3 linked regions of the Elephas maximus indicus genome follow. The protein of the gene in region 2 purifies or fractionates together with the protein of the main gene of each other region. This does not show direct contact. Links are inferred from orthologs where the notes say so. Each region holds a gene or a part of one and is shown on either strand. Other genes may lie near its edges.

Region 1 (7,328 bases), on a different chromosome or scaffold from region 2:
GCCCTCTGGCTCACCCAGGGCTCCAGCAGTCCTCACCCCTCCCTGTGGATTTCTCCCTCCAGAGTGGAGTCCCTGGGTGGTGCAGTTAATGCACTCAGCCACTAACAGAAAGTTTGGGGGTTCGAGTCTACCCAGAGGTGCCTTGGAAGAAAGACATCTGAAAAATCAACCACTGAAAACCTGTGGAGCACAGTTGTTCTCTGACACACATGGGGTCACCATGACTCAGGGGCAACTCCACAGAAGCTTCTTTTTTTTTTTTTAACTGGGTCATCACCCCAGCACATAAAACTCTATTTCCCCCATCTTCACTCCTCCTGCTGCAGCATCACTCCCTGCTGTCCCCCTTTGTAGCCGTGTTTCCCCTTCCTGTCCTGGCAGAGTCCTATCCAGCCAGCCCCAGGGTCTGCTTTGGTCAGGGTCACAGGGCCACTCAGCCAAGCCCCACTTGCTCCATCTCAGGCCTCCAAGGGCTTGGCAGCTCAACAGCTGTCTTAGTCATCTATTGCTGCTATAACAGAAATACCACAAGTGAATGGCTTTAACAAAGAGAAATTTATTCTCTGACAGTCTAGGAGGCTAGAAGTCTGAATTCAGGGTGTCAACTCCAGGGGAAGTCTTTCTCTTTCTGTCGGCTCTGGAGAAAGGTCTTTGAGATCAGTCTTCCCTTGGCCTGGGAGCTTCTCAGCGCAGCAGCCCCCAGGGGCTCTCCTTGCTTGGTGGTGTGAGATCTCTCTGTGGCTCTGCTCTTCCCTCTTTTATATCTCAAAAGAGATTGACTCAGAATACGACCTTACCTTGTAGATTGGGTCCTGCCTCATTAACATAACAGCCTCTAATCCTGCCTCATTAACATCACAGACTTTAGGATTTACAACACATAGGATAATCACATCAGATCACAAAACCGTGGACAACCACACAACACTGAGAATCCTGGCCTATCCAAATTGACACACATTTTGGGGCCAGGGACATATGAAGGTCTCTCCCTCCTCCTGGAGACACCACCTTCCCCTGGCTCCAGGGCACCTGGCAACCTCCTCCCTTGTTTGCTTGTCTCCTTTATTTTATTTAATGAGCACTTAGGTAACTCAGGAGCCCTGGTGGCACAGTGGTTAAGAGCTCAGCTGCTAACCAAAAGGTTGGCAGTTCGAATCCACCAACTAGTCCTTGGAAACCTTATGGGACAGTTCTACTCTGTTCTATAGATTCGACTTGACGGTTGTGGATTCGGTTTTGGGTTGCTAACTCAGGTGATGCAGGTCTAAGCAGTCTGCAATTATCGGCCATTACCGCCCAATGAAAGCAGCCCTGTTGGTGCAAGCGTTAAGCGCTCGGCCGATAACTGAAAGATCAGCGGTTCGAACCCACCCAGGGACTCACTGGAGAAAGACCTGATGATCTACTTCCGTAAAGATTACAGCCTAACCTCTAGAGTACAGCCCCCCGGACACCCTTGTAACTCAGTACTGAAGCCACTCCCGAAATTCACCCTTCAGCCAAAGAGTAGACAGGTCTATAAAATAAACAATAATAACACACGCGAGGACCGTGCTTTGTAGTTTAATAATGTATACAAGACTAAAGGGTCCGCACAAGCCCAAAAGCGAAGGCAGGAAGGGACAGGAAAAGTAGACAAATGGAAACGGGGAACCTGGGGTGGAGAAGGGGGCAGTGTTGACACATTGAGGGGTTGGCAACCAATGTCACAAGACAATGTGTATTTATTGTTTAATGAGAAGCCTATTTGCTCTGTAAACTTTTACCTAAAGTACAAAAAAAAAAAAGCCTAGAAAACCTCACGTGGTGGCTATGAGTCAGAATCTACTGACAGCGCCTAACAACAACAGTTACCCGATGAAGTGGGTACTGTACCATGGGCCGAGGAGGGGTGCTGAGGCACAGGGAGGTGAAGCCACGGGCCTGAGAGCACACAGTCAAGTCGCAGTCCCAGAGGCTCCCGTGACTCTCATCCCTGACCCCTCCTTCTGTTCCATTCTCACACCCAGTGACCCTGCTCAGGCCACAGGGTCCTCCCCCTCAGCATTGCTGCCTTCCCTGGGGTGGGGGCCGTCCTGGGCACTGCAGCGTGTTGAGCAACATCCCTGGCCTCCACCCACTTGGTACCAGTAGCACCCCATTCAGTTGCGACAACAAATGTTCCCTGAGGTTGCCAAGTGTCCCCTGGGGGCAGAAACGCCCAGGATGAGAACCTCGACTCTGAACTCCCCTGCTCCCCGGTGCACACTCCGAGCCAGCCACACTCACCTCCTGGATGCCAACACACGAGGCCAGTCCTGCCTCAGGGGCTTTGCACGGGCTTTTAACCTCTGCCCGGTACACCCTCCCCCAGACACCTGCGTGGCTCCCTCCCTCTTCTCCTTCGAGTTTTTGCTTAAATCTCTCCTCCCTGCCTTCCCTGACCTCTGCCTTCAATGCTGCAAGCTTTCTCATCCGCCATCTCCTTTACCCTGGTCTGCTTTTTTCATAGCAGTATCAGCTTCAGACATATTTTATCATTCACATGTTATGTTCAGTGCTTGTGATCCTGTGTCCCCTGGAACATCAGGGACTCCTGGTCTGTTTTATTCACTATCTCTGTGTTTCTTGGGTCCCTGGGTGGTGCAGTCTGCACTTGGCTCCTAATCTAAAGGTTGGCAGTTTGCACCCACTCAGTGATACTGCAGAAGAAAGGCCTGGCCACCTGCTTCAGTAAAAGCTGAACCAAACCATTGCTGCTGAGTCGATTCCGACTCATAGCGACGCTATAGGACAGAGTAGAACTGCTCCATACGGAGACCTGGTGGTGCAGTGCTTAAAGAGTTTGGCTGCTAATCAGAAAGTTGCTAGTTTGAATCCATCTGCCACTCCTTGGAAACCCTGTGGTTGGACACGACAGCAGTATTTTTTTAATAGGATTTCCAAGGCCGTGATCTTTACGGAAGCAGACTGCCACATCTTTTTCCTGCACAGCTGCTGGTGAGTTCCGAATGACCTTTCTGTTAGCAGCTGGGTGCTTAACTACTGAGCCGCCGGGGCTCCTTTGGTAAAGGCCAAGAAAGCCCTGTTGAACAGTTCTCCTCTGTAACATGTGTGCTGCCAGGTGGAGACCCCAGGTTCTGCTTGGTGTGACTTGCTGCAGCCAATAAACAAGAGGCCAAGGTGGGAGATGAGAAAGATGCCTTTATTTCATTGCTCAAGGATAGGAGCCATGGGGGCTGCTGCCTCCAAGACTGCTCCCAGGCAGCTTGGGGAGGTGGGCTTTTATACAAAGCAGACAAGGAAATGCAAATTTATTATGAATATTCAGGATTGACCTTCACACAGGCGTTCAGAGTTTGGGGATGACTATGCATTTTCTCTAGACAGGGTTCCATTCTCCGGAATGGAGGAAGAGGTTGATTTTCTTCTACTAGGATGTTAAGTCTCCCCCCAGAGGCGGATTGAAGCCATCTATGGCCCGTTCTGTGGTTATCTTGTCAAGGACAGTTTCAGAATTTGCAGCTTATTCTGCTCGCTGTAGGACGATAAGCCAGAGCAGGTGTTTGTCTCTTAGATGGGTTGGGCTCTGAGGTTGTCTGCCTCACATGGGGCCACCTAGCCGGACCCAATTCTACACCAACAGGTTTCGGTGCTGTTTAGCGACTGAATGGAATGAATCGCTGAATAAGTTACTGATCACCTTCAGTGTGGCAGGCGCGGGGCTGGGCGAGCCTCCTTGATGAGCTCGGGGGCTTGATGTGGAGGTCTGTCAAGACCCACTAGGTCTGGGGGCCATGGGGCACCCAGGCGGAGGCCGGACCGAGAGCCAGGGGAGAGGGCCAGGTTGAAGCGGAGGTGGGAGGCTTTGCCAGGCTCTTCCCAAACACGACCATCTTTTTAGATCCTCACTTAACCCTCTAAAACAGGGGCATTTATTATTTCCATTATAAAGACGTGGAAACTGAGTCTCGGGCGGAGCCCTGGAGCCACCATGCGGAGAGGACCCCAGACACTTGGACGCACACATATTTGTGGAGCACTTTCTAGACTACCCGACTGTGCCCGAGAGCCTGGCAGGCCCCCGAGCCCGTCCGGGCCTCCGTTTCCCTATCTGTACCCGGCCTCTCCCTCGCGAGATTCTAAACAGCCGCCCGACAGCTGGGCGTTGAGCGGAAACTACAACTCCCGAGAGGCCTTGCGGCTCAAGCATCGCGAGAACTGCAGGCGGTGGTGGGCGGTGATATTTGCAAGTCTCTGTTAGGGAGCAGCCAAACACCGCTTTCGGAAGGTTCGGGCTGCCCTCGGACCTGCCGGTTCCAGAGGTCGGTGCTTTCAGGCGTTCGCTGAGGCCAGCCCTGCACGGAGTGGACTAGGGGTGGCTTAGCGCAGGCGCAGTGCGCGCGGGTCCTGACTGGCGCAGGCGCAGCGCGTCGACTCCGAGAAGCGAAGCAGCCATGGACGACGAGGAGGAGACGTACCGGCTGTGGAAGATCCGCAAGACCATCATGCAGGTGAGGAGCGCGGGGCGGGGGGATGCCCCTGTTTAGAGAATGGGGTCACGGCGGGCCTACCTGCGCCAGGTGAGCCGAGCGCGCAACGGTCTGGTGGTTCCTGGAGGTGGGAAGGAGCGTGGCGTCTCCCCCTCCCTCATCCCCTGTGGCTGGATCGGGGGGTCCCCAAGGCCACCCCAGACCCTCGTTGCTGGGTCTGCCCCAGGGGCGCTGCCTTATGTGCCCTGAGCTCAGCGGCGGGACACCTGCTTTGGGGCGGGCAGGGCGAGGGTCACAGTACGCCGAGGTTGGGGTCTTCCAGAGGACTGAGGGACCCCACAGACCAGCGGCCGAGGGGAGAAGCTGAGAGGTCCCGGGGGGGGGGTCGGGTGTGGGCGGGAGTTGGGGTTGGGGAGTGTGAAGGGCTAGAGAAGGAGGTGACAAGTGGCGACAAAGAACGGGGGCATTCTTGGAGGGCCCCTGCTCCGCCCCAGTCACGAGCTGCACTTTTTGTTGCTTTATCCTGAACCTGAGGGTCAGGGCGGGTTGTGATTGGGAAGCGGCGGCAGAGCTGGGGTTTGAGCTCGGGGGTGTTGAGTCCAGAGCCGGTGCCGTGAGGTCCGGAGCAGATGAAGACAGAGCTGGGAGGGGACGTCCTGGGCAGACCGTCCCTGAAGGCCAGTAATTGTGGATCTCACCCCAGAAATCAGGGCTATTTGAGCAGATGGTTCTAGAAAAGGACCTAGATGGAGAAAGGGAAGGTCAGGGCTGTGAGCTAGTCCTGATCTCCTCCCCGGTCCCTCTGTGAAGTTCCCCGGCAGCTTCATTCTCTCTCCTGAGTGCCTGCCCACACTAGGGTCTCAGCCTGAAGTCGCAGCTATTCTGGCCTCCGTCTTCAGGGTGGCTTTGCAAAGGGGTTGAGAGGCTGGGCTCATCTGCTCAGGTGTAGGCCTGGCAGGACTCCCAGGGGCCAGGTGGTCTTGGTCTAGATCCTTGCCTCCTGGGCCACAGTTGGAGGTTGCCAACAAGGCGCAAATCACAGACAGGCACTGGAACCACGCTTTACTCACACAGATGAGACAGCAGAGTCAGCTTCAGTTGTGGTCTCCAGTCTCCCATGGCCAGTGAGTCCCCTCATAGCCAGTACAGAGCACATGTCCGACACGCACTCCTCTTGTGCTGCAACTGAGAGACCCCGTTTCCTGTTCTCCAAGAACAGTTGGGTTGGCCAGGTGCTATAAGGAAATTCTGGTGGCGTGCGTAGTGGTTAAATGCTACCTTGGCAGTTCAAATCAACCAGGCACTCCTTGGAAACTCTATGAGGCAGTTCTACTCTGTCCTAGAGGGTCACTATGTGTCAGAATCAACTTGACAGCAATGGGTTTGGTTTTTTGTTTGTTTGTTTGCATGAACAGCAACAGAGAAAGTTAGAGTGTGCCCAGAACTGGGAGGGAGGCTCCCCTGATGAGGAAGAGAAACTGGGAGGGAGGGAGAGAGAGACCCAGTTACAGTCTCCGTATCAGGGAATGCTCTGGGCCCATGGCCTCTGCTTAAGCAGCCCAGGAAGCAGGCATGAAATCAGCCTGTCTCCCCACAGGGGCTCACACTGGTCCCAGCCCATGGGGTGGCCATGGGATTAGAGGGTGACCGTGTTCATCCACTTCGCTATGACTTCTCTGTCCTGTCTCCCTGACTGGCCTAAGGCTGGTGGCTGAGGTGTGCCCACCCTGTGTCCTCCACAGCCAGCATTTGAATCGCTGCGACCATGCCTGACACCAGGGTGTGTGCACTCAGGCATGCTGTGGCTCTCCTCACCCTGAGGTCCTGGGCCCTTCTCTCTGCAGTTGTGTCACGACCGTGGTTACCTGGTGACGCAGGACGAGCTGGACCAGACACTAGAGGAGTTCAAAGCCCAGTTTGGAGACAAACCGAGTGAAGGGCGGCCACGGCGCACGGACCTCACCGTGCTGGTGGCCCACAATGATGACCCCACTGACCAGATGTTCGTCTTCTTCCCAGGTGAGGGCCCTGGTGGGTGTACACAGCTTCCCATCCCTGAGGTTCCTGAGGGATCCCCAAAGGACCACGTTTCTGGTGGGGTTGTTGGAGCACCTACTTAGGTGCAGCTTCTAGCATCTGCCTGTGTGTGGCCCTCCAACCCGGACTGGGGAGAGAGCTCCCTGCCTCTCCACGCTGTGCTGTTGACCTCTGACCCCTCTGACAGTCTCTTCACGTACCCACCACCTGCTCCAGTTTCCCTCTGATCAGTCGCTTCTGTCTCCCTTGACTGTGTCCTTGTTGTGTCCTCCCAGCAGGACTCTCCCAGAGGCATCCCGCCTAGGCCCTTGCTCCCTCCTGTCTGTTCCCTCCTGACGGCTCTTTCCTGTCCTGCTGCCCACCTCCTGGGATGGCGTTCCAGCCTCCTGGCCTAGCAGCCAGGCTCCCTCCACATGAGCTCAGCTCCCTGCTTCCGCTCTTCCTGCACCTCTGAGTGCCCCCCCCTTTCCCAGCAGAACTCAGCTCCCCTCCTCCTGTGTGCCCACCACACCAGCTGTCTGCATCCTAGTTCTGGGGTGACAGTATACGGGGACCCTCAGCAGCACTGTGGGTCTCAGGCTTCTGCCCTCAGTCTAGCCGAGCAGTGGAGGCCAGTGTCAGAGACATTGAGTCTGACCTTTGGGAGGCACCCTGGCTCTGCCCTGGACAGCCACCTGGTGCCAGAGAGAGAAGGAGCTCTGCCTTCCAGAGCATCGAAGGCGCCTTTGGTCCCAGAAGCCTCTGCGATGAGCCAGGAAGGACAAGAATTCACCCCACACCTTCCCCAGGCCCTGTTTCTAGTCACCGAGTCACACA
Region 2 (7,839 bases):
CTAATGTTAGCTCCCCAAAAGCCCTTTCCCACAGCCACACCATAGCCCCTCCTCCCCAGACCTTGGTACCCACATCATCCTTCTCCAGCATGCGCAGGATCTGTTTTGTTTCTTCATCCGTCTCCCTCTTCTCTTTTTTGATGTTGATGATATGAGAGGGCCCCATGTCTGATATATCCACTGTCTTATCCCAGTTCCCTATGGAAAATCACCCAAGTCACTACGGATAAGGAAGAGACCGACACCAAAAGTAAACCGAGAGCAGGGAAATTTCTCTCAGGTAGTCTAAACCAAAATCCACTGCTATTCCTCTCAGAGCCCCAGCAGCCTTGTACCTTTTTTCTTCATCATTTCAGCTGGGCCCTGCTCAAAGATGGAGTGGGACTGGATAACTTCTGGGCGACCCCGGCCACGTCCATGTCCTTCTCGCTGTCGATCTCTATCCCTTTCACGCTTCTCCTTCTTGACAGTTACTTCTTCCTTAGGCCTGGAAAAGAGAATGGACTAAGGGAAATCACTCATTCACCTTGCCTCAGAGAACTTATCTTACTCTCCCACGCCACTCTATTCCAACTAAGCAGAGTTTATAAGCCAGCAGTTACATCATGAGGAGAAGCAGAAGTTATCCCTAGGTCTAGCATCTTTTTCACTTCCTTAATGGGGCAGGGTAATTTCAATTTGCTTTACTTTACCTTTTTAAGAGTATATGTCAGAACTATAACTCAAATGCTGAACTACAGAAACTCCCCAAATATGTATTTTTTTTTTTTTTTTTTTTTTTTTGAGCTGACTGAAAACAAGGTGGCTGTAATACATATGAACGTTAAGGGAAAACACTACGTCTCTGTGTAAACTAGCAGCTCTCAACTCTGGCCGTGTAAGAGAAACATTCCATTTCACTGAGAAAGCTAAATTACAATTCTAGGGATTGGGTACCAGGCATCAATATTTTTTTAAAGCTTGCATACCTGAATCACCTGGAAGCTAAGCTTGAAAGTCACTAATGAAAATAACTAAATACACAAGTTTAATTTTCTGAGCCACCTACTTTTGTGTGTCCCAAACATACAAAGTAAAGCTCCAAATTCAGAGCATGTAAATGAGGGGCAGGTATTCAGAGGCCCAGCTACTTACTCTTCCTTGATCTTCCGACTGATGATGTTTGGGGTAAAGGTTTTCTGAAAGTAAAATACAGGAGTCACTGATTGGTTAAGTTCTAACCCCAAAATACAGAGGAAAATGAAAACTCGCAAAGGGCATCTTCTAAGGACCAAGCTCATCCTAGCTCTCTTCCACACATCTGACACTGTTGTCAGAGATTAGAGGTAGACATGGACCCAAAGAGCAACATCATACCGCGGTAGCAGTGAGTTATACAAAGCAGATCGGGACAGCAAAAACCATTTTAACTAGCAGCCTCAGCTTCTGCCCTCTGAAAAGTTCTAAAAGCTAAAGAATGTATCTCATCTCATCTCTTGTCTTCGAACTACTCTAGAAACCAGTCAACATCAGAGGAAAGCTGCTCTAACAGCAAGGCTCAATAGGAGATCTGCTCACACTCAGAGGATACAGTTAAGACTGTCACCCGAATTTCCCAAGACAAAAAGTTCTAAAAAACTGGCTGCTTTATGTTTCTTTTTTTTTCCCCTCCTCTTCAGGGCTACCCTTTACATCTATAGGCATAAATATAACATGAGGGAACTCAGAGCCTCTAATGCTATGCCTTGATTCATTACAGGACAGATCAGAAGTTGCATACCCAGATACATGGAGAATTCCTAACCCCCTAAAATTGCAGACACACATTTATGCCTGCCTGGCTTTCTTGGGTTTCTCAAAGGTGTTTCAAACACAAAGTAAAGAAACACTGCTCAAATTGCTTTTGAGTCTTGGACTCATTAGGATTCTCTGTGAGGTGCCCTGGTGGTGCAGTGGTTAAGTACTCGGCTGCTAACCAAAAGTAGAAAGGTGGGTGGTTTGAACCTACTAGCTGCTCCATGGGAGAAAGATGTGGCAGTCTGCTTCCATAAAGATTTACAGTCTTGGAGACCCTATGGGGCAGTACTCTGTCCTACAGAGTGGGCTATGAGTCGGAATGGATTCCATAGCAATGCGATTGGTTTTGTTTTGGTCCTTCAGTCACCTCTGGGAACCATCCCAACATCTCGTACCCAACACTAGACGTGAAAGTTCAACAAGATCCCCAGAATTTAGAGAGGCGTAGGCAGAAGTCTCAGCACAAGATTCATGGGGGGCTAGACACCACGCCTGGCACAGTGTAGGCCCCACATCAGTATTAGCTGCATCCCAACCCACTGCCGTCGGGTGAATTCCGACTCATGGACACTCTATAAGACAGTTTAGAACTGCCCCACACCAGGGTTTCCAGCTGAATCCCAGGAACCTGGAATTCAAGGTACTTGGGTCTCTTTAGCAAGGCTACCTTCTTCACTCCCCCGAGGGTGAGGTCCCTGGAGCGGACAGAGGGAAGGCGGCCCGCGGTGACAGAGGGCGCTGGCCGCCTCCCGATAAGCCCCCGGGGTCCAGAGAGAAGGGGTCGGGGCCCTCCGGGGATACTGGGCTCGCCCGCAGCATTTCCTTCCGACATACTGCCTGGGAGAGAATGAGAAAAAGGGCAACAAAGTCACCCGAGGGTGCGGACACGCGAACTCTAGGCGTAACCCAACCACGTGGCCTGCCGCCCCCCAGACAGTGTGTCCTTCCTCGTGAGTCTCAGCTCCTCCCCCTCTCACGTGGCAAGACTCCCTGGACCACCCGGTTTGAGGTTTTACTCGCGACCCCGGTCCGCTGCCCTTCGCCCTCTCCCCAAGCTCTCCAGCCAAGCACGAGGCAGGGACGCACTCCAGAGCACCCGGAGCACCCGGGCTGCGGCTCTACACCACGCGCGTCACGACTTCACCTCCGACACGAGCCGCGGCTGGCACTCAGTCTCCGCGCTAGGCGGAAGTCTGCGTGGCAGGGCCCGGGCGCCGCCATTTTGCCGCGGGGCGGAAGTGAGGTCCGGTGGGCGGGGCCGGGGCACAGTATTTATCAAGCGGCACCTCGCTCCCCTCCGCCTTCTCTTCCCGGTTCTTCCCGGAGTCGGGAAAAGCTGGGTTGAGAGGGCGAAAAAGGATGAGAGGACGGGTCTGGGTTACAGTAAGATGTTGTGCTCAGGGGTCTGGCCCGGGACCGGACGTGGGGACGCCGAGTTCAGGGTCTGGGGTCCTTGGCAGCCGCCACGCCACAACGTGAGGATTCGCCTCGGCGGAGCCTGTGGAACCAATGGGGTCGCAGCTCGGATGGGGCGCGGGGCAGAGAGCGAGACCCGGATTCACATTCGGGAAGCCCTGGGGCAGGGCCGAGCCGTGGCCGCGGCGGTTGCCGCTGTGGACTCCAGATGGTGACCTTGGAGTGGTCACTGTACCTCCAGGCAGTGGCTTCGCTCGCGTTTGCTGTCGCTCGGAGGCCCCTTTTTTGAACTGGTGGGGTCCTGGTGTGGGGCTGTCGGGGCAGCGCTGGAGCAGCTGCAGCGGACGAACCTGCTGGGCTCACGACTGTGCAGGTTCTTGTGTGCGCTCTTGGTTAAAGCCTGGAAGGTACCTGAAAAATGAAAAATTTTGCAGGAGAGGCGAAGTGAAATAACTTTTTTATTGTGACTTTGACGCTTGTAGTTTGACATAAAAAATGTCCTTTAATGTTACACTTTCCTCACTGTACAGCATATAAAACCATGTAACAACATTACGGAAAGTTTGGGGAAGGGAAAGTATTTGTTAGAATTCCACCATAACCAAAAAAAAAAAAAAAAAATTCTCTGCTGTGGAGTCGATTCCGGCTCAGCGACCCCACCATAGAGTGCTACTGTTAAAGTTTTGGTAATACAGTCCTGTATCCTTACCAGAACCTCTTGTACCACAATTTTGTATGCTTTTTCAAAGAACATTTCTTTTGCTGCATCCAAATGAGTAATTCTCTGTCGTGTGCTGTTATGGATTGAATTGTGTCTCCCCGAAATATATGTTGGAATCCTAATCGCTGTACCTGTGGATGTAATTCTGTCTGGAAATTAAGGTTTTCTTTGTTATGTTAATAAGACCATATCAATGTAGGGTGTGTCCTAAACCCAATCACTTCTGAGTTATAAAAAAGCAGAAGAGACACAGAAGCAAAGCAATGGATACCTCTAGATCACTGAGCAAGCAGGACTTGAAACTGAGACAGGAATTTACCACCACCACCACCCCCCCACCAGACTGGACAAAGAGCAGTGAATTTGGACTCCTAGCCTCCTACATTGTGACAAAAACAAATTTCTGTTCTTTAAATCCACCTACTTGTGGTATATGTTACAGCAGCACTAGGAAACAGACAGGTACATCGTGATTTATTTCCCTGTTGTTTGGACACTTAGATTTTTTTTTTTTTTTTTTTTTTTTCCCTCGGTTGTAAATAACTCTGCGGTGAACATCTGGTTCGTTTAATGTTTTTTTCTTCTTTTGGGTTATTCCCTTGGTCAGATGTCCAGAGCTGGAGTAACTGACCTAAAGAACATGTGCAGTTTTTTAAAGTGAACTTTATATTTTGAGATAATTATAGATATACTCACCGTTGTTAAAAAAAAAAATAGTGCAGAGTGATCCCAAGTACGGTTTACTGGAATTCCCCCAATAGTAATGTCTTACAAAATTATGGTACAATCTCACAACCAGAATAGTAACATTGATACCGTCAAGATATGCCCGTTTAATAGCCATGCCTACCTCTGTCCCTATCCTCACCCTCCCCTGACAAACACTGATTTGTTCTCCATTTCTATAATTTTGTTATCTTAAGAATGTTATATAAGTGAACTCGTACAGTATGTGACTCCTTGGGATAGCTTTTTTCACTCACCCTAATTCCCTAGAGATTTTCCAAGTTGTTGCATGTATCAATAATTCATTCTTTTTTATTGTTCCCTACCCATAGTATGTATGTACCACAGCTTAACCAGTCACCTTTTGAAGAATATCGGAGTTGTTTCCAGTTGTTCACTGTTATGTGTAAAGTTACTATGAACATTTGCGTATAGGTTTTGAGTAAGCATAGATTTTCATTTCTCTGGGATAAATGCTGCTGTTGAGTTGCCCCCAACTCATGATGACCCCATCCATAACAAAATGAAATGCCACCCAGTCCTGCACCATCCCCATGATCCGTTGCGGGTCAGAACTTGAGATCCATAGGGTTTTCATTGGCTGATTTTCAGAAGTAGATGACCATGCCTTTCTAGCCCCACTGAAATCTGTTCCGCATTGTAGTGACACACAAGCTTCCACTGACAGCATGGTGGCTGCACACGAGGCACATTGGCTGAGCAAGAATTCAACCACAGAACCACTAATGCCTCAGTCATATGACTTGTATGCTTAGTTTTATAACAAACTGCCAAACTTTTCCACAGTGGCGGTACATTTGATGGTTCCATGTTGCTAAATTGCTTTAAAAAAGGATTGTGCTGATAATGCATCACTACTAAATATATGCATACAAGAATATCTATATAACATATTTTTTAAAAAAACCATCGAGTTGATTCTTCTCCTAGCGACCCTAAAGAACAGAGTAGAGCTGCCCCATATGATTTCCAAGGAGCACCTGGTGGATTCTAACTGCTGACATTTTAGTTAGCAGTGTAGCACTTAACCACTACACCACCAGCGTTTCCGTATAATATATAAGAGTGCATATAACATAACTCGCCTGCCCCCTAGAGACCTGCTTTGCTTTCTCCAGAGAATACATTTGCAGGTTTTTGCCTTGGTAGGAGAGAAGCGTTTGCCTAACTTCATAGAGCTGGGAAGGGAATCTGGGGATCTGACTGCTTTTTAAGCAGACTTGCAACCCATCCTCCTCCGGCTAGTTCCCCTTTTCCTCACCTCCACTTCAAAAGGAACCTGGAGCTAACTGGTTATGAGCGCCTCAGTGAGTACTGGTTTGGCTCTTGGTGCCCTCATTACTGCCTTAGGAGTCAGTTTTCTTGGTCTCCTAAGTCTTTTACCACTCTTCCATCTGTTTTCAGTCTTCTCAAATTCTGTTGCCATTGTCATTTTATGAAATGCTATGATTTATATAAAAAATATTGTATTTTTGGTGAACATACACACTGCAAAATAGGTTCCCATTCAACAATTTCCACACATACTGTTCATTGACATTGGTTAGATTTTTTGCATTGTGTCAACATTATTATTTCCATTCTAGTTGTTCCATTCCCATGAACCTTCTCTCACAGCCCCTAAACCTTCTCATCCATATTTTAACCATTGTCCATTGACAGGAGCCATGGTGGTGCAGCGGTTAAGCGCTTGACTGCTAACCTAAAGGTCAGCAATTCAAACCCACAAGCTGCTCTGCAGGAGAAAGATGTGGCAGTCTGCTTCTGTAAAGATTTATAACCTTGGAAAGCCTACAGGACAGTTCTACTGTGTCCTGTAGGGTCACTATGAGTTAGAATCAACTCTGTGGCAATGGGTTTAGTTTTGCTTGCTTTGGTTGTCCATTTGGGCACATATAGTTAATTTTTTAAAAGAGCTCAGTACTCGATTGACATTTTTTGTTTTGAGTTAACCTGCTATTTAGTTAAAAGGTAACTTCAGGATATACTTTCTGTTCAGAGTTTAAAGAGTATCTCAGGACAATGGTCCCTTGGATTCCTCCAGTCTCATAAGTATGCGTTCCTGGGGAATTTGAAGTTTTGTTCCACATTTTTCTCCCTTTCTATTAGGATTCATCTACTGTGTTGCTAATCGGGACTTCAGTATCCAAGAGCCATCTAGCTCTTCCGGTGTCAAAGTAGAGGAGACTGTGGTTTATGGAGAAAATTAGTCCTGTAGACCAGTTCCTTCTCTGATTCTTGGGTTTCCTTCTTTCTCTTTTGCTCCAAATGAATAGAGACCAATAGGTGTATTGTAGATGGCTGCTCACAAGCTTTTGAGACCCCAGAGGCTACTTGCCAAACTGATGTATTGGATTTTACTTTAACTTAACATGGGGGTGGAAAAGTGGGAGAGAAGATGGATAAAGAGTCAGTAATTATAAAGTATGAGTTAGTAAATATATGGTTGTTTTTAATAGTACTGTTTCTATCTTTTTACATGTCTGAAAATTTTCATAATAAAAATATTTTTAAAAAAGAGTACCTATAATGTTTGTCCATATCCTTTTCAGTATTGGCTCTTAAAATTTTAGACATGTTTTTGCCAATTTAATACTATATTAGTATTGTATTCTGTTGGTGCCTAACCAGATTTTTTTCAACTTGTCTTCTCCATATCGGTTTCATGATAACCAAATAAAATCCCTACACACAGAATTCCTTAGCTTCTGACTGAAGCGCTAGATGAAATTTATTTGATTTGATTCTCTGGGCTTTAATGTCCACCAACCTTTTACCAAAAAACAAACAAACCCGTTGTTGTAGAGTCAATTCTGACTCATAGCGACCCTGCAGGACAGAGTAGAACTGCTCCATAGGGTTTCCAAGGAGCGGCTGGGGGATTCAAACTGCTGACCTTTTGGTTAGCAGCTGAGCTGTTAACGGCTGCACCACCAGGGCTCCACCAGCCTTTTGGCAGCTCCTAATTTTTTTGTTTTGTGTTAAAAGATATTTGTTCGTTGTAGAAAATTTAGAAGATTTTAAAAAGCACTCAGAAGGAAATGAAAATCATCTATTATTATCACATCAATTTTTATATGTATTTGATGTTGGTTTTTCTATGCATATAGGTTTTTAAAATTAAGGTATTTTTACATATGGTGCTATATCCTGCTTTTTCTCTCTTAACAAAGATTTTT
Region 3 (7,394 bases), on a different chromosome or scaffold from region 2:
CTGGCCAGGAGTTCCCAGCCTTGTGCCCTATCACAAGCCCTGGCAGGCAGCAAGGAGGTGCTTAAGCAGCTACAGCTCTGTGGCAGCTGGAGACCCCATCAAAGAGACACATGCCATCAGTATTGTCCTTTAATCTTCCTCTGCTCTGCAGCCAGGGGGAAGGGGCCCGGCCAGGGATTTCAGGTGAGGTCAGTGTGACTGCAGGGTCACCGCAACAGCCTTGGCTGTGGCGTTGAGCATGGCGGCAGGAAGTCTAGCAGCAGGGAGCACAACAGGGATGTCTCTGGGGACTCTCTGCATGGGCGGGATGTTGGGGCCCTCCAGTGTGTCCAGAATCCCTGAAAGAAGGGTGATGGAAGATAAGCAGGAGTTGGCTGGGACCAGCCCACAGGCTATCTCATCCAGCCCCCCAACCCTGGCAGCTGTTTGCACCCACAGCCACCCCTACCCTGGCCCTCCCGTCACTTACCCTCTACCACCTTGTGGTAGGCAAAATGCAGATAGAGCAGGAAGAGCATGTGCAGGGCAGCCAGGGTGCCACAAAGGAGTAGTCGCTGCGTGGGGCCCACAGTCCGTGACACCAACACTGCCACCTAGGCCCACAGGAAGACAGCTCAGAGGCCTGGATCCAGCGAGGGATGGGGAGAAGACACCCTACCCAAGGCAGAACCATCTTGGACTTTTCCAGCCCATTCAGAACCCTTCATGGGGTTCTACCTCAGCTCTAGGCTGTTCTTCCCAAATCCCTGAGAGAACAGCCCACTCCTGAAAACCCCATTCCCAGCTTACCATGCGCAGGGTGGACAGCCCACCCACCAGCAGCCAGAATAGGTAGAAGAGGGCATGAAGGTGGATGTTGTAGGTGATGAATAGGACAATACAGTGCCCAAAGAGGCCATAGCCCTAGGAAGGAGGATGGTGGAAAGGAAAATCACTCAGGCTGGGCTGGTCTCTGGCCTTCATGGGGACCCTGGGTAATAAAGGGTCCAGTGGCCAGTTCTTCCCATTCCAGGCCCTGGGTGGGGTCCTGTGGAACCAGGACACATGCAGACCAAGGCCTGACTACTCTCTTAAGATTACCCTTGCCCACCACCATGCCTGGCTCCTTACCAGCAGTGCCAGCATCTGGAGCATGGTGATCTGAGCATTGCACAGGTAGGCGAGGAAGTAAATGAAGGACGACACGCCCAGCCAGTAGCCGAAGCAGGTACCAATGGCTGTGCCCATCAGGGTGCCCTCCCGCTGTGGGGCGAAGGCTCTGCTTAGCCCTGAAAGGCCTCTGAGGGCCTTCCTCAAGGACTGCTCCTTCACTTCACTTTACCATCCTCTCCTTGGGCAGCTTCCAACCCAGTTAAGCCACCCCCCAATGTCCTCTGTTTTGCTTACGATAATGGTGTCAGATGTCTTCATCCCATGGAGGAGGATGGCAACCAGCGTGAAGACCAGCATGAGAGGTCCATACAGCTCACCTGCAATTTTCTGTCAATATACCAACTCATTCAGCATGAAGGGTACCATGGCTTTTCTGTTCATGCCTCCCCAGGCTTTGCCTGGTGGCCCCACCCTCTGCCCTGGTGCCTCCCCTCGCTCTCCAGACATGCCACCCACTATTCACCTGTGGGAAGTTGACCATCTTGATAGGGATCATGGACTCCAGGAGCCTGAGAGAGAGGAGAGATAAGAGCAGAGGTAGCACTAAGCTGTGAGGTTTTGGAGGTCAAGGCATGAGTCTTACTCATCTCTCTAATCCCAGGGTAAAGGAAACTCGCCCAGGGGACATGCTAGATGATTCAGGGAGAACAGGGCAGTAAAGAGACAGGGGATGGGGAAATGACTTCCTTCCCCCTAGAAATACTTCCAGGGAGAACATTCCTCTGACACTGTGCTGACTGAAGCAGCACCAATACAGAATTCAGAGACTCTAGCTGGGTCCTGGGGGAAGACCTGACGATGAACCTATTTGACCTGCTCCTCTTTAAAAAACAAGCAAACCTCAGCAGAGCATAATACCCAGCATTCAGGGTTGTGATGGTGAGGCCCTGGGCAAGATTCAGAAGGTGTCCCTAAGGGAAACAGTGCCCCCTGCCTCTTCCTGCTTACCATTCCTCTAGGCACCACTGGGTATTTTCTTGAAAAATCTATCTGAAGTGCTATGAAAATTCCAGACAGAAAAAATAAAAGTACAAGTCATGTCCCCGCTTTCTTCTTAAGTGACCAGCTCCTAATAATACCTTTGATTTTGGCTAAATTTTACCTCCTCTGGGATACCTGGCCTGTCCCATTCCCCAGCCCACCCTGGGTCAGGAGTTCTTCCTGTGTGTCTCCACCATAGCATAAGAGTGCTGTCTTGTAACTGCACACCAGGGCAAGGCTCCCATCTGTCTTCACCACTGAATCAGACACAACAAGAATAGTACTGTACTTAATAAAGAAGTATGATCAATAAATATTTAAGTGGTACTATTTTTTGACAAACATTAGTTAAACTAAGGAACAAAGAACCAAGCCAAGATTAAATCTGTTTCTTGAACAGTCATTCAGCAACTATGCACTGACACTCTGGTTCAGGCTGTTCTGGTGCCGGGAAAAAAAGATAAACAAGAGTCTGCTCTCAAAGAGCTGTTGGTCTGCGGAGACAGACCCAGGAATGAGAAAGTACAGCAGTGCTGAAGTGTTATCTACTAGAGAAAAACAGAGTTCTATAATTTTTTTTTTTTATAGGAACATTGGGAGAGGACAAATGGGGGATGGAAATGAGGAATGGTGAACAAAGAAGTGACATTTGAGTTAGGTTTTGAGGGAAAATGAATCTGCTCATGGAGAAGTGAAGGAAGCCAATGTGTTTAGCGCCATGTCGTGTTCAGTGGGTGGTGAGAGTTATGGTGTGTCTGGGGTACAAGGTGCGATGAGGGGTGGTGGGGTCATGAAGAGCGGGGGTCCTGAGGGCTTGATATCTGGTTGTTGGCTGGATGAAGGACTAGGTGTTAGGAGGGCAGTTTCTGTCAGGAGAAGGATCCTCACCTGCTTCGCACCTGGGCAGGCTCCACATCAAAGTAGGGTCTTAAGATGTCAATGTTGGCGTACAAGCTGAAGGCCCTGGAGGCTTGTCTCTTTCCCGCCTGCCACATCTGAAGCAAGGAAGATGGGGGTGGGAGGTTGGGTATTGTGAGCCTCTTGGCTCTGGGGACTGTTCCCTATTTTTCTGTTGGATTTCTACATGGTTCTAACTGGATAACTTGGAGTGAGCTTCACCAACACCAACTCCAGAACCTGGGACCTGCCTAGATATACTTTTCCCCATGCCAGGGATCCAGCCTTGCTTACCTGATCAGCCACCTGCCTGCTCAGCTGTCCCTTAAAGCCCTTCATGCCCAGGAACTCCCCATCCTCTTCTTCAGCAGCAGCTGCATCAGCGTCTACTTCTTCCTCACGCAGGCGCTGATGCAGCTCACCCATATCCTCAAAGCTGGAACCTGAGGTATCATCCATGTTCTCCATGTCAATCACAGCTGAGCCCCCACCCTGTGAAAACAATGGCTCCTGGAGTGCTGGAATTTTCTGATCCGTCGGTTAAGTACTCCTCTGCTCACCCTAGGGTTTGAGTTTTGTTCTTCCACTGCTGGGGTATGGGTGGGAATCACCAAAGATCCTGCCAATCTCTTCCCACTCATCTGCTCTCAGAACCTTTGGATCCTGGCTTTTGCCCTCTTTTCGAGCCTGGGAAACCTGTCTTCCACTCATGTATTTCTCCTATCTTCCCTATCAAACTATCAAAGGGCAGCAAAAGCACCCATTTCCTTTGTCTTTCACAAGGCGAAGGCATGTCTGTGCACAGTGTTTTCAGCCAGTGCCAGTTATTACCCCTTCCCCCGTCATGCCTGACCCCGGCCAACCTCCCAACTTGCCCCTAAAGCAAAAGCACGCTCTTTCTAACGCCTCGGGAAGGCCCAGAGACCTGTGGCCCTCCAGCCGGAGTATCTGGCCTTTCAGGTCAGCACTAACCCCACCGACTTGGTTTGCACTGAGACCCAAAACAGTGAAGAACTGTTGCAACTAGAGCAGACGGTACGGAGGTTAGGGACGGACTTCTAGGCCCCGAGAAAGTTCCCAAGACACTTCAGGACGGTCGCCAGCCTTGGGGGCAGCCGGAGCCTTGGGGCCATTACCTGGATGTTTTCTTCAAATCCTCCCCACTCCGGGCCAGCCCCGTTTCGGGCGCCGCCGGCCGGCGCCGCCGCAGCTGCCATGTCCCTCGAGGGCTCCCGTCGCTGAAGCCCGCGCTACCCCGCGCGCGGAGAAGTGGGCGAGACGTGGGCCTGAGGGAGGGAGATGTCCACGGGCAAGAAGGAGAGATGGAATCAGCCGGAACCCAAAAACGAAAAACCCGGATGTTTGGCTCAAACTGACTTCCGGAAGTTTGGGACGTGGGAGGAGGCGGGGCAAACCCTCGCGATACTTAAGCCTCCAGGCGAGCGTTCGTTGCCGAGGAGACGGTAGGACTAGCTCGCGCTCGCCAGTTTGACGCTCTAGCCACGTGGGTCGGTTGAAGATGGCGGCGGCCCAGGCAGTGGAAGAAATGCGGGACCGCGTGGTTCTTGGGGAGTTCGGGGTTCGCAATGTAAGTCTTGTGGTCTTGAACTCCGGAGAGAGAAGGAGAGCGAAACAGGAATGAGTTGGAGTCGGAGTGGCGACAGACTCGTCTCTCTTGCTCTTTAGGTTCATACCACCGACTTCCCCGGTAACTATTCCGGTTATGACGATGCCTGGGACCAGGAGCGCTTCGAGAAGGTGAAGGAGGAGTTGGAGGATTGGAAGTACTGGGAGGGGAAGCGATTAGGGTAGGGTAAGGTGGGTACGGACGGAGGTGTCTGGAGAGGGTGTGTGTGGCCGGACCTTGTGATCTGAACAGCCTGTGCCTCAGAAGCTGCCCTTAAGGCTACCTTTATTCATCAGACGTTTATTGAGCCCCGTTCCCATCCCAGCGATGTGCTAGGCGCTTGCGTGTAGTAGGCCGAATTAGACACAGTTTCTGCCCTGTTCTGTGATTCTTGTTGGGGAATCATTTCGCGTAAACAAATGATTCCTGTCTAACTTTGTAAGGCGGTTGATAGCAATATAGACACAGGGTGTGCATGGGGGCGGGGGGAGGGTTAGGAAAATTTCCTGAAGGAGATAACATCTAAATTGGGCCTTGAACAAGTTGTGAACAGCTAAGTGTGAAGGAACTAAGAATATGAACTAAATTATAAAGGCGTGAGGTGTACTCCTGGAATGTTCAAACAGTTCAGTATTGCTAGAATGTAAAATGGACCAGCAGGAGTGGTAGGCAAGATTGGAATTCGTTGTAGGCACTGTAGGTGACAGGTAACTTTTGAAGAGTTTTTAAGCAGACTTGGTAAGATTCATAACCCTGATGGCTGGGAGAGAATGAACTAAGATTATGATTGCAGAAATTGAACAAAGAGGGGAATAGAGGGTCAAAGTGGTGATTGATTTGATGTGGGCTGTGAGGGGCAAGGGAACCCTGGTAGTGTAGTGGTTAAGTGCTGGGGCTGCTAACAGTTCGAATCCACCAGGCGCTCCTTGGATACTCTATGGGGCAGTTCTACTCTGTCCTATAGGGTTGCTGTGAGTCGGAATTGACTCATGACAGCAGTGGGTTTGGTGTTTTTTTGTTTGTGAGGACCAAGTGTAAAATAACCTGGCTTAGGGAACTTTGATGGATGGTGATGTTATTGTTTGATAAGGAGGAATAGATCTGAGGAAGAGGAATGACGATGTATTCAATTTTCTGCAGGCAGAGCAGTCTAGCAGGCTAGTAGAACATGTTTGAAATGAGATCAGAAATGATACATAATTTTTGGAGTTGTGAGTGTACAGATGAGTTGCTAAAATTGTGTGGTTGAGGTCACCCAAGTGAGAGACAGGAACTTGGGAAGTAGTAATATTTAGGGGATGGGTGGAAAAATAGTGAATTTAGAAAAAATCGTAAGATAACTAGAAGATTGGTGCTCAGAAACCAAGGGACTAGTAGAATTTTAAAAAGGAAGGATTTTATTAAAAAATTCCACATGTAGTAGAGGATTCCAGCAAGGTAAGGACTGAGTAGTATTACTTGCCCTAAGTAATATGGAAGCTTCTGTTCTTTAATAGAACGGCCTCCGTGAGATGGTTTGGCTGGAGGCAGATTACAGAGGTTTTGAATGAACGGAAGACAAAAACAGAGAAACTTTTCAACTATGAAAGGATTGGGGGAGAAAGGGACATCTGGGCATGGAGGAGGTTTTTGGATTTTAGAGGATGTTAAAAAAAACATTAAGGGAAATATCTAGGGAGGGGGGAGCATAGAGACCAGGCCTCAGTGTTTTTTCCTGTCCCTCCAGAATTTCCGTGTGGATGTGGTACACATGGATGAAAACTCATTGGAGTTCGACATGGTGGGAATTGATGCAGCCATCGCCAATGCTTTTCGACGCATTCTATTAGCTGAGGTATCAATGGATGTAGCGGCAAGGTTGTATGGGGAAGCTTGCTGAGGATCTCAAAGTGACCCTCCCACCCTTGTTTTTCCTGCAAATTTGCTGAGCATTCCTTCTGGTCATTCTTCTTATCTCTTTATCAAGCATTTTTCTAGGAAGAGCTCTCCCTGTCACAGGGTGGGAGTGAAGAGCCTACTGGGTCTTTGCAGATGGGTGATTGGTGATTGTTTCCTTGAGCAGGTGCCAACCATGGCTGTGGAAAAGGTTCTGGTGTACAACAACACATCCATAGTCCAGGATGAGATCCTTGCTCACCGGCTGGGACTCATTCCCATTCATGCAGATCCTCGTCTTTTTGAGTATCGGAATCAAGGTAAGGGTTTGGGAAAATAAAATTTTGGGAAAAGGAGGGCAGCTTTCCTCTAAAGTAAGATTCTGGAGTCAGACTGCCTGAGTTCAAAACCTGCATTTGATCTTGGAAAAGTTAATCTTTTAGTACATCAGTGTTTTCCACCTGTGAAATGAAGATAATACCTGTTTCATGAGTTTGTCGAGAGGATTAAATGAAAAGTGTATGTAAAGCCCTCAGCATAGTGCCTGACACTCAAATGGTCACTAGTTTTCTAAGAGTTAATCTCTTTCTCTTGCATTTACGCAGAAGATGAAGAAGGCACAGAGATAGACACTCTGCAGTTTCGGCTACAAGTCAGGTGCACTCGGAACCCCCACGCTTCTAAAGATTCCTCTGATCCCAGTGAACTCTATGTGAACCACAAAGGTGAGCGGTGGTAATGTGCGGAAGAGAGCCTGCCTGTTGCGGGTACGAGGAGTATGGCTTTAGGGGCTGAAGTCTTCTGACATGCTTCATTCTCTAGTGTACACCAGGCACATGACATGGGTGCCCCTGGGGAACCA

Evidence for each region. The genes of interacting proteins can lie anywhere in the genome.
Region 1: the proteins of POLR3D (region 2) and POLR2E purify together in Homo sapiens (affinity purification with mass spectrometry; 6 studies listed by BioGRID and IntAct, counting the BioPlex papers as one, with this or other methods). This does not show direct contact. The link is inferred for Elephas maximus indicus from reciprocal best matches to the Homo sapiens genes POLR3D and POLR2E.
Region 3: the proteins of POLR3D (region 2) and POLR1C purify together in Homo sapiens (affinity purification with mass spectrometry; 6 studies listed by BioGRID and IntAct, counting the BioPlex papers as one, with this or other methods). This does not show direct contact. The link is inferred for Elephas maximus indicus from reciprocal best matches to the Homo sapiens genes POLR3D and POLR1C.

Annotation. Positions count from the first base shown.
Region 1 is NC_064821.1:806,760-814,087, reverse strand, and holds the start of POLR2E (DNA-directed RNA polymerases I, II, and III subunit RPABC1), read left to right. Parts: upstream 1-4,318; 5' UTR 4,319-4,439; coding exon 4,440-4,496; intron 4,497-6,319; coding exon 6,320-6,494; intron 6,495-7,328. UniProt on the Homo sapiens protein: DNA-dependent RNA polymerase catalyzes the transcription of DNA into RNA using the four ribonucleoside triphosphates as substrates.
Region 2 is NC_064840.1:52,465,632-52,473,470, forward strand, and holds the start of POLR3D (DNA-directed RNA polymerase III subunit RPC4), read right to left. Parts: upstream 3,002-7,839; 5' UTR 2,793-3,001; exon of another isoform or gene 2,754-2,792; intron 2,614-2,753; 5' UTR 2,609-2,613; coding exon 2,444-2,608; intron 1,179-2,443; coding exon 1,135-1,178; intron 488-1,134; coding exon 336-487; intron 199-335; coding exon 74-198; intron 1-73. UniProt on the Homo sapiens protein: DNA-dependent RNA polymerase catalyzes the transcription of DNA into RNA using the four ribonucleoside triphosphates as substrates.
Region 3 is NC_064819.1:107,947,619-107,955,012, forward strand, and holds the start of POLR1C (DNA-directed RNA polymerases I and III subunit RPAC1), read left to right. Parts: upstream 1-4,384; 5' UTR 4,385-4,549; coding exon 4,550-4,618; intron 4,619-4,716; coding exon 4,717-4,788; intron 4,789-6,033; exon of another isoform or gene 6,034-6,383; coding exon 6,384-6,491; exon of another isoform or gene 6,492-6,716; coding exon 6,717-6,852; exon of another isoform or gene 6,853-7,137; coding exon 7,138-7,257; exon of another isoform or gene 7,258-7,354; coding exon 7,355-7,394. Other genes in the region: protein YIPF3, read right to left, coding at 190-338, 470-593, 790-903, 1,111-1,242, 1,387-1,479, 1,616-1,661, 3,022-3,128, 3,325-3,522 and 1 more. UniProt on the Homo sapiens protein: DNA-dependent RNA polymerase catalyzes the transcription of DNA into RNA using the four ribonucleoside triphosphates as substrates.